Linked DNA regions of Caenorhabditis elegans. The protein of the gene in region 3 interacts with the protein of the main gene of each other region in a pairwise test. Each region holds a gene or a part of one and is shown on either strand. Other genes may lie near its edges. The genes, in order: ZC455.1, dyf-3 and T07D4.2.

Region 1 (3,754 bases), on a different chromosome or scaffold from region 3:
AGTAGAAGAAAACAAAAAAATAACAGTAATCAACAAGAAGCCGAACAAGCAATGAGCAAAGGCAAGCCGCTGAGGAGCAAATGAATAGAAGAAAGTTCACAAAAAACTGGATGCTTGACACAAAGCTTTCCACACAGAGAATGAACGATCTTCTCGTCTCGGAAAGGCATTTCTCTGCGTTTCTAACTACAGAACAATATTATTTTTGAAAAAAAGTCTCCTTGTAAGGAATAGGTACTGGTTTTTGATGCGCATTTTATGTTAGAAGTGAATGGAAAATGTGTCAAAATCTTGACATAAGTAACTACATAATATCCATGCAAAGAGGAATTTGAAAAAAAACTTGAAACTCAGAGATTTTGTCTTAAAACAGAAATAAAAGTAAATGTCAGCTTACGCTATTTTTGAATAGTGCTGTAAACTTTTGAAGCTCTTCAAATCAGGTTACTGAATTTTCAGTCGAAATTGCAAATAATTTTTTTTGTTTGTTTTCTATATTTTCTACAGATTTCTAAGTTTCATTTGATAAGTTTCCAAAATTCTCTGGGAAAAAACGAAAAATATTTAACTTACATATTCTTATTCTATTCATTACTAAGTTTGTCTCGGCAAATTTCCACATCCAACAATTTTTTGAAGAAAATTCCCGAAACTATTGATATTTTTCTTTAAAAAAAACTAAGAAAATAAAATTAAATTGCGCTTATCCTAAATTTCAAACAAAATAACGTACTAAATTTTTGGTTTCTTGTGTTATTTTGTGTTCGTTCAAATGTTTCTAAGTCGGTTTTTATATCAATTTTCAGAATTCGCAGTGCTTGGAAATCCATCGAAAAAGAAGATTTATCAAATTTTCTGAACGACCAAAATTGACACTATTGTAGATACAAATTTTCTAAAAACGATTAATTTTATAAAAAAAATGTTACCCAGGTATATGTATTTTAAAATACTCTTTTGATTTTTAACTTTCTTTGAAAAAAATGAACAAAAAATAAAATTCAAAAGCTCTACTCATAACCGCAATCAAATTGCTTCACGTCATGCTTGATAGAGGACACAAAAGCGGAAATGATAAAGTCATAATGTGTGGAGAATCTGGCAAGAGCACTAGACTGCGCAATCCGTATCACAATTGGATCGGATATCACGTCAAACCAAGGCAAATCAAACGTTCTCTCATTTCCGGCGTCTCTCGATTTTGCGAAATATCCATTTCTCGATCTTTATTATTAAATAGGAGAAAGTTCTCGAGCAAACGAGACAGGTAAATAGAGATAAAAAGACAAGATTATCATTTTCAATTAACGGCTATACATTGCTTGAACATACCTGCTAAAACTACTATTATTGTTGCTGAATGACGTGGCGATTGGTGGGAGATTTGAAAATATTCGTTCCGGTGCCACGTAGATGGCCGCTGGCTCGTGAGCAGATATATCGCATCTGAAATATTTTCAAGTGATTCTCTTACTATAATTCGATTGTTTTTTTTTCAAATTCAAAAATTCGTAACATGGAGCTTTTGAGAATTTGTTTAATATTTTCAATTTAGAATTTAATATTACTTTCTAAAAAACCTCCGAATCTACATATAAGTTTACAAATCTTATTGAAATGCTTTATTGTATTCTGTCTTCTAGTGTTAGTACAATTAGTTTCTTAATCTTCTTACCTACAAACGGAGCATCTCCTTGAGCCACGAACTTCTGCCACAAACAGGGAACATGACATTGTGGATTAGATGTTTTCTTGTCACTTCTTCTACTTATTTCTTGTATTTGTACTTCAACTTCTTGTACTTTTGTGTTTGTTGTGACCTATTTTGACTAGAGTCTAGAGACAATAAATACAGAAAATATTCTAGAATAGAAAAAGAAGAAAAAGAGAAAGCATGACTGGAAGTGGACGAGAGAGAATGATGTATTATCAATACGTGAAAGAGCTTGGGTTGGAGCACTTGAGACTCCTTTCCGCGCGGAAACAAAAAAACTTAGAGGTATTAGATCAAGAGCCATGAGCACAGAAGGCAGAGCAAAAGAGCAAGAGTCGCAGATGATTGTTCAAAATCAAAATCAGCAGAAACAGTAACACAAAAACCATAAATGAAACAAGCATTTGTCCATGGCATGTTTATGAGCACGGACACAAAACCGCGTCAGAGTTAGCCACAGATTTGCACCGGAGAGAAAGGCCAGCATGAAAGGTAATCTGTCGGGTAAATAGTGTGATTCTCTCGTTTTCATGTGTTGGCAGAACAAAATGAGCATGTTTAGCAGAGGGAAAAGGGCAAATTTTATTGAATGAAATTTCAGATCATATTCTAAGCCGGAATATTTAACATTTTAATGAACTGCCATTTGTGAGGATTTTACTTCAGAAACATTTCCACTAGGACTGGAGTTGTCCTGAATAACTTTTCCCAATGCCAATAATCAAAACTGCATCCCTAAATTTAGATAGTTTAAAATATGAAGATATTTCAAAAAGAAACATGCAGAAAATTTATTATCAAAGCAAAAATTATTGATCGCCACAGTTTAACACATATTAAGTATAAACTTTGAAAACCAGGCAGTGTTAAAATATATAAATTCTTTAAACTGTTGAAAAAGTTATATTGGATAGATTCACAGAGTTAAATTGAAAATTGGCCAAGAAAGAAGATACCACTGTTTTGAGAAACGTGATAAAGTCAAAAAAAGGTAAAAATTAGATTGGGAAGAACGCTCAAAATTACACAGTTAAAACCATTTTCATTATTTTAGTAAACTTTTAATTCTACAGAAACTTTTGCGAAATATTTCCAAAATATCTCAGTCGCTAATGCATCTTATATGATCTTCCCATTATCCCTAAACGATTCGTTTTTGGTCTCACTGAAGTTGTAAACAACACTCAAGTACCAAAGAAAGTGAGTCACAAGGTTGAGTATATAATGATCTGTTTTTGTAATTATGACCATACCCTAATTAAAAAAAACATTTTCTCAACAGTTTCTAAATGATAGTGTTCAAATTAAAAGTGGTGAATATCTAACTACTAAACATTACAAAACTTTTGAATTTTTTTAAATTTACAGTCAAAAAGTGGAAATTTCTCACGGTAACTATCATTTTGGAACTCAACCAAAAATTTTAAATTAATCGATCATTATAGAGTCTCAAACCAGCAGCGATTCTCAAAATTGCTAAAGAAGTCCAATTTTTCAAAATCTTGGTACTTTTCCAAAACTGACTGAAAGTTTGAATTTTTTTGAAATGGAGCGTTGAAAATTTGGTCAAATTGGATTATATGAATTAAAAGAGTTTTAAAACAAAATCCCTTTTTACCATAAAAGTGAGGAACAAAAATCTAATTTTCCAAGAATTTTAGAGTGACTAAATGATAATAAAAATGAAAAAATAGGTAATCGATAGTTAAGTGAGAAATTGCGCGGTTTCTCTGGTTATCATTGTGGTAAAGTTCTCCTTACTTTTCATCTCTAGAGCTCTCGGCGTCTCACACATTTCTCCCACTATTTTTCACAAAAACGCGCGACTTCAACTACTCGTGTATTCAAAAACCAACACAGATGTTGAACATACCACAGACAGGATATAGGTACTGTAGAGTAAAGGCGTCAAAGATAATACTGTGTAGAAATGAGCGAGACGCAGCATGTCATGGCTCTTGACTGCTCGTCACAGCTTTCTCAAACTTCAATGACTATCGTGTTAGACCAGGTTGCGGAGAAAAGATTTTCAAACTGTTT
Region 2 (3,754 bases), on a different chromosome or scaffold from region 3:
TTGCCGCTCGGACCTCGCCAAGTCATCATGAACTTTTCGCAGATAGGACAGGTTGCGGAAGTTCAGCACGTAGACCTGGAAGCTTAGGCTTCACAGGGCAGCTCGGTATCCGGTGTCTTACCTCATAAAGTTTCTTCAGTCGCTCCTCAAACCGCTCGTACTCGTCCATATACTGAGGTCGGAAGGACTGTAGCTTTGCGAATCTTTTTTGCAACTGCTCGTACTCTCGCTTCTTTCGCTCTATCTTCTCGTCGAGCTCTGCCTCATCGCTGGCCACGTTGTTCAGCTTGTTCTGAAAATTTGAGAGGTTAGCTGGGGAGCCTGCACCTAACCTAATTGTAAGTGACTCAGACCCTCCGGGCTTTAAGAACAATCACGTGGGTTCGAGTGGAGTGGGTGTTGCTTCAAGCCAGTTAGGCTAATTCAGTCTATTCCTTCAGCTCCAAGATCCTCAGCGGACTCCTCGAGGCTAGGGGTCTCTGAGCTTCTGGAGAAGATGCACAGGCCCGGTCTAGTGGCTTGAAGCCCTGCATATACCACTAGAGTTCAGGTAATGAAGCTTCAAAGTCTGAATCAAAGTTCAAGTCACTCTTTGACCAAGCCCACGCCATTAGAAGAAGTCCAAGCTTTTTACTGTCCGCTTCACAATCAGGATCGAGCCAGGCCAATCTCTCAAACTCTAAGACGCCAGAGCTCAAACCTACGCCACCAGGAGCTCCGTGACCCGTCAAGCTTACCGATAGCTGCTCAGTCTCCTGAGCGATGTTCTGCACTGTTGCCTGCAGCACCTTCTCGGCCTCAGCAAGTGGTACCGCCCGTGACGCGGCTCTCTCGTGTTGCTGAGATATGAACTCCTGCCGGGACAGCAGCTCACTGAGCAGGGCACCTGTTTCCGGGAGTTGTGATGATAGCTGACGAGTGATTCGGACCTCCTGCATCTGAACTTTCGACAGTTTTTTCAGGCTTTTTCAGGCTGGTGGCCTGTGAGACCCACCTTCGACGAGAGCTTATTCTTGACTTGGGTCCATTTTGGCGAGTTATCAGTGTTCGGGTCCTCTGCCTTGGCCTGGTAGAGGATCTTCATGGCCGGTAGGAGTTCCTGCACCGCATGACCATCAGCCTGGTACAACTTTTTTGGATTCATCTTGATTCTCGAATTTTGGAGCATCAGGAGTACCGCGTTCTTGATGAAAGCGACCCGATCAGCTTCTGTTTGGACTTCGTGTGCGTCAAGGTTGGATTCGGGCTCAAATCTGGAATTTTTGGGCTTAGAGTAGGCTTGGAAGTTAGTGGCCAAAGTTTCTATATTTTTCGGCCAACGATTTTTTTCACTGGGAAACTAACTTTTTCACGATCCATTCCAGCAATTCAGCCACCAGCTGAAAATTTGGGGTCCGGAAATTCTCAATTGACATCAAGCGAGGGTATCGGAGGCTTCGCGTCATCTCACACAGGTCTGAAGTTGGCGAAATTTGGGACTAGAATCCGAACTCGGCCATGATTTTGTAAAATTCAATTTTAAGTGTATTTTGGGTCTTTTTTTTGCGTTTTATGGTTTAGAAACATTTCTCACCTAGATTTTAATGCAACACTTATTTTTTCCATATGAAAATCTCAAAGTTCAAATTTAAAATTAAAAAAGCCTTAAAAACTTACTTCTCAGCTCACGATACGACATTTTTCGTGCAGAATTCAATTGAAACTTCTCTTCTCAACAATTGCCTGCCTATTCCCCCATTCAATATTTCCTCCGTTCCCATAGAAACTCCCTGCAAACACCCCAAAGACTACGGTCGACGAGCTTCTGCAGCTCAACCGGCGTTTTGTACGCAAACACCGCGACGCCATATTGCACACATTTTTCGAGAGGAGCGCCGCGCGCATTTTCTCCGAGTTTTGTTTGCTTTTTTGCGCATCTTTCATTGATTTTTTATTAAAATCGGGGGAAATATGGTTTAAATTATCGATTTCCGCCTGTTTTAGTGGTGAAAATGTGAAAAATCGTAGTGAAAAACCCTAGAAACCAGTAAAATTCTATTTGGAAGGGTTTTGGTCTAAATTTTGAGTTTTTAGCATTAAAACAATATGCTCAGCAGAAAAACTAATGAAAATGTGAGAATTTTGAATCAAAATACCTAAATTTTTTAAAAAATCCTAGTTTTTCTCTATTTTTCTCAAAATTTCCGGCAAAAGCCTCAAAATTTCAATTAATTTCCGGTTTTTCAGGTAATCCCCGGTCGAAATGGCTCTGAGAAAGTGTGGAAACCTGTTCGTGGCTCGTCTCGCTGGCACCTCGACCAGAGCGGCTTCCAGTGAGTAGAAATTGCAAAAAATGAATGGAAAAAAAACGAAAAAATCGCTGATTACCGGCTAAAAATGAAGAATTGAACGGAAAAAACGAATTTTAACCTAAAAAAGCATAAAAATCGCCAATTTTTTCAGCAATGACCGTCCGTGACGCCCTAAATCAGGCTATGGACGAGGAAATCAAACGTGACGACCGAGTTTTCCTGATGGGAGAAGAAGTTGCTCAGTACGACGGAGCTTACAAGATTTCCAAGGGATTGTGGAAGAAGCACGGTGATAAGCGAGTCGTCGACACTCCAATTACTGAAATGGGATTCGCTGGTACGGGAAATCACGCTGGAAATCGAGAAAAATCGAGAAATGTTGACTCGGAACGTCAAAATCACTAATAAATCCCCAAAAACAGCACCATTTTTTCGAAAAGAAAGTGTCCAAATTTACTTTAATTTTGGATCTTTTCTCTCAAAAGTTCAGTTTTTACACTAAAAATTGGATTTTTCGAACAAATTTCGGAAATTTTCCTAAAAACAATTAATTTTCGGCATTTTTTATTGAAAATTTCAATATTCACTGCAAAAAGCTCGGAAATTACGGAGTTTTGATATTTTTCGCAGAAAATTCCGGTTTTATCAAAATTTTGTCGAAAATTAAGCTGAAAAATCACATTTTTTATATAAAAATCAGATTTTTCCCAATGTTATTTGCAGAAAAGCTCTAAGACCGCGCAAATTCAATTTTTCAGCAAAAATTGTCTAAAAAGCTCGAATTTTCGCATTTTTCTCGATTTATTCAATTTTTAGCAAAATTTTTTCAGAAAAAACTGAAAATTCCTCCAAAAAAATCACATTTTTTTCAGGAATCGCCGTCGGTGCTGCCTTCGCCGGGCTCCGTCCAATTTGCGAGTTCATGACATTCAATTTTTCCATGCAAGCCATCGATCAGATTATTAATTCAGCCGCAAAAACATATTATATGTCCGCCGGAAGGGTACGGTCTTGGCAATGTGCCACGTTTTCTGGAAATTGCGATTTTCAGCGAAAAAATAGCCGAAAAATTGAAGATTTTCACCAAATTTTTGACTAATTCGTGAGAAATCACGCTTTCTGCTATTTTTAGAACGAAATTCCTCGGTTTACACTGATTTTTCAGGAAAAAGTCAATTTCTGATACAAAAAATGCGATTTTTCTAGATTTTTGACTGAAAATCAGGGTTTTTCTGAAATTTCTACACAAATTTTACCTCAACAGAGCTGATTTTAGCTTTAAAATCCGATTTTTCTCGACTTTTCACTGAAAATTTCATTTTTTCAGCCATTTTCGTTGAATTTATGCTGAAAAATCATGTTTTTCACATGGTCTCACGCCATTTTGATAAGAAAAAATTTGTAAAAATCATCAACTGATAAGAATTCTTATCACTGAACACTTTCTGATCAGTGAATTTTAT
Region 3 (3,754 bases):
AAATAGAGCCGAAAAGATTGAATGGAGAAGTAAGATTCAAAAGATTTATGGCGAGTATCTGAAGTGTGTCAAAAACATTGACTGCACTCAAATGGTTTTCGATCTAACGATGAGGTCACGAGGTGACAGGAAATGGGATGGGAGGCCAAAAGTTGCAAACGAGACATCCGATATATGTATGTGCTGGTCACTTTTTGTTCCTTATCTTTTTGAAGGATACATCAAACTAAATGCAGAAGGATATTCAGTTACCCGTTCTTTTTCTGTTAATAGTTAGTTCTCTTTTCTTATTTTTTAAATATATGTATACTTGGGAAAGCAGTGGTTTTCGGCTGAAACTAGATTGGAAAGATTGGACGAATATGAAACTAACTGCCGGTCGCCTGGACAAGTTACCATAATACGAATGCTCTGCGAGTTTTTGAAATGTTTCAAAATACTGAAGGTTTGAGAGAAAGTCTGAAAGAATGGGAGCCGCGTTTTCTCATAATTTTTCACATTCAGAAAACTGTGAATAACCTCGAGCAACAATGGAAATCGAGCAAAATGTTTTCTTCAAAGGAAGAAAAATAAAAAATTACTGAGAAAATTTCGTAGTCAAAAAAATCCCCGAAAAGCAACTAAAAATTACGAAAAAAAAAGGTCGGTAACTCGGTAAAAATGAAACTGATAGGCTGGCACATCTCAGGGAAAGGTGAGAAAATGTTCGTCAGTGGATCATCTGATGAATAGTGAATCAAAGACGACCATCATCGGCTCTCAGATATCTTTTCTTTCTTTTTTTCGTTTAAATCAAAAAAGTAGAGACTCCAACGTCAGTTGGTATGCCGACTCAATATGAGATAGATTGTTTCTTCTTTTCATCAGATTGGTATCATGCTCGAACGCATTTATCATTTTATCTTTCATTTTGTTTTTCCAATTGTTGATGGGAGCTAACAACATAGAAAACCTACCGGATTTGACAGCTTCCGTCGGGTTTTTTTGTCCATTGGAATGCCAGATGCAATTGAACCGCGGCGACTTGGCGAAGCATTTCCGAGTTCAAAACTGTCGACGATTATTGAGCCGGAACTTCTTCCTGATAAAGATAGTTATGACAACTTAGAAATAGACGGAAGTATTCTTTTTTTTCTGAGAATCAATCTGAATTGTTCTCTGGTTTTTTTTATAAAGTTAATAACTTATTTTAAAAGAAGAACATTGAAGCTGCCATCGTGGTATTCACACGTTATTCAACCTTTACTACACATTTTGCTGTTTATTCTCATTTTTTACGAGAATCGGGAGAGAGGCAAAAAGAAATTATGAACTCACTTCTATCTCTGTTGAATCCAATCAATTCCTGATCTTCTATCATCGGCTGCAAATATGATGCAGCCCGGTTTCGCGAATGGAACATCATTTTCTGAAATAAATATATTATGTTAAAATATGAATGTTTTGAAGTGGAAGTATCATATAAATAGAGCAAATTATTATTTGTAGCTTCGAGGTTCGAGGACTACTACCAAAAATGTTAAGGAACTGAGACATAAATCTTTTACAAATACAGTTTTTAAACGGAATGGTGATACACTTTATCTATCAACTTCTGTTTGAGAATATAGCTCCATAAAATCAGGTTGTAGTGAAGAAAAAATCAGGACAAGTGACCAAAGCACGGGAATGGTTCTCAAAGGTACCCGCCAATGAAACCTTCCATCTTCTTCTTCCCTCCAGCATTTCCATCTTATCCATCTTAACCCCCTCCCCTTCTTCCTCTTTTTTCCATTTGATCAGAGTTCTATCCTTCTTCAATACCAATTGGCTCACCTCATCTTGTGGTACAGGAGCGGAGCTTCTGAAAACACAAAGATTGAAACATAAAACAAACAATGAGTGCAGCTACAAAAAATCATTGACGAACCTTCGATTGAGTGACACTTTGAGCAATGCAGGACTCAGCATTCCTGCAAAAATCTCGATGATTTTTTGGGTCGACAAGCAAGAAGAAACGACAACTTTTTGAGAAGTGACAAAGTGAAGTGAAGGATGACACGAAAGTTCGGGAATGTTCGGAATGAGATAAGATGTGTCTGGATCATGGAATTAGGTACTTAAACACGGACAAAGCAATTCAGCATTGAGTGCAGAATTTTCTTGAGCAAATGAGTAGTTTAATGAGATCAACTCTCATTTAAAGATGTGATTAAAAAGATCAAGGGTTTTTGTTGCAAAGAAGTGAGACATAGGATTCGTGACGTAGTTGAATATAGCTGTTGGCAATGACATAATTGGTAAAGTTTATACTAACAGAGCAAATAACATTTATCAAGATATTTAAAATACAGTAGACCGTGTTTTCTCAATAGAAACGCCACTCATACCTTGCACAAGTTTGGACCAGCTCTTGCTAATGTCGTATTGTTTTTCAAATCTTTATTGCGGTACAATGTATCTCGAGAGACGGCAAGGGTTGAGTGCCACCAGGTCACAAGCTGATAAGTGTGCAACTGAGAAAAAGTACAACATATGCCAAACGTATCACATAAATCACATAGAAATTATCTACTCACATGTTCTATTATGAGAAAATTAATGCAGTGGAATAGGAAAATATAAGTAAACTCTAAACTGTAGAAATAAAGTTTCTGAACACTTGGAAAAGGTTAAAAATTGGAGCCTAGTTTTTATTGAGATTTCATCCAAACTGTAGCGATTCAGAATATATTTTTGTATTGCCCTAGTATAAGTAAAGACTAATTACAAAAACTACTATAAGTATTTACAAATAGATACTGTTACGAAGGTCCAGTAGCCAATAATCTACCTCTAAACTCATTCAGAAGTTCTAATTGTTTTATTTTTAGTCATTCAATTGATCTTTCCATCATTATCTTATTAACTATTTCCATTTCTATTTCAAGTTATATGTAGTGATATGCGAATTATAAGTGAACAAATTCAAGCTAAAATTCTGAAAAAATATAATGCGAAACTAACGTAATACTAGTATCATAGAAATAAGAAAGCAAAGCTGAAAACATTGCAAAGAGTAAAGTGACTGGTTCTTCTTCTGCTTCTGTTTTTTGAACAGCTCATCAGGTGTTGATTTACTCACCACCAGTAGCAACCACTTTGTGCACACAATGGCTCCACCTTCATACCTTCCTCCCCCACCTCATCGTTCTCAGTCTCACCACAAAGACTTGTCATAACTCATCAATAAACTTTTTTAACACCCCACAACGGGTCACAATAAGGGATCAAAGTTGAGCCGAAGAGTCGACTGAAAGAGAAGAGTCTGGTGGAAAGAGATAATAATGATGAGTGGTGCACAAAAAACAGGGAAGATCTGATGAAGAAGGTCGATGTATTACGAGTGATGGATTAGGATTTGATGAGGGCGGATCGAGTTGTACTCTCAATTAATTTGTCGACATCAATCAATTTGAAATCTTGAACTTGATTGAATTGGTGGAGCTGGGAGATATTATTGAAGGGTACTTATGGTAAAAATTCAAAGATCCTTGACTAGTTTGTAGGTCACAAGATGCAATAGTACACAGGAACCGAGTTGTTTGGATGTGTTCTTGACAAAACTAGTGAACTTTATATTTAGGATTTAATGAAATAATATATTTAAAGTGCGTCAAAGCCAGAAATATTTGGAAAGCTGGTAAAGCTGAGCCAATTATGAATTTCAGATAAAAGGGATAGCATTTAGGGGAAACTTCATGAAAGCTGTTAAAACAATTTGGTTAGTTTTTAG

What was found.
Region 1: the proteins of T07D4.2 (region 3) and ZC455.1 interact in a two-hybrid assay, tested with the Caenorhabditis elegans proteins (one large-scale study listed by BioGRID).
Region 2: the proteins of T07D4.2 (region 3) and dyf-3 interact in a two-hybrid assay, tested with the Caenorhabditis elegans proteins (one large-scale study listed by BioGRID).

What each region holds. Positions count from the first base shown.
Region 1 is NC_003283.11:12,771,502-12,775,255, reverse strand, and holds the start of ZC455.1 (LIM domain protein), read right to left. Parts: upstream 1,735-3,754; coding exon 1,676-1,734; intron 1,449-1,675; exon of another isoform or gene 1,447-1,448; coding exon 1,333-1,446; intron 1,260-1,332; exon of another isoform or gene 1,128-1,259; intron 1-1,127.
Region 2 is NC_003282.8:3,397,446-3,401,199, forward strand, and holds the start of dyf-3 (Clusterin-associated protein 1 homolog), read right to left. Parts: upstream 1,679-3,754; coding exon 1,657-1,678; intron 1,457-1,656; coding exon 1,345-1,456; intron 1,254-1,344; coding exon 995-1,253; intron 939-994; coding exon 738-938; intron 293-737; coding exon 122-292; intron 76-121; coding exon 1-75. Other genes in the region: pdhb-1 (Pyruvate dehydrogenase E1 component subunit beta, mitochondrial), read left to right, coding at 2,243-2,312, 2,443-2,628, 3,164-3,294.
Region 3 is NC_003280.10:8,871,991-8,875,744, forward strand, and holds the start of T07D4.2 (UPF0046 protein T07D4.2), read right to left. Parts: upstream 1,953-3,754; 5' UTR 1,951-1,952; coding exon 1,910-1,950; intron 1,844-1,909; coding exon 1,816-1,843; intron 1,409-1,815; coding exon 1,318-1,408; intron 1,082-1,317; coding exon 957-1,081; intron 1-956.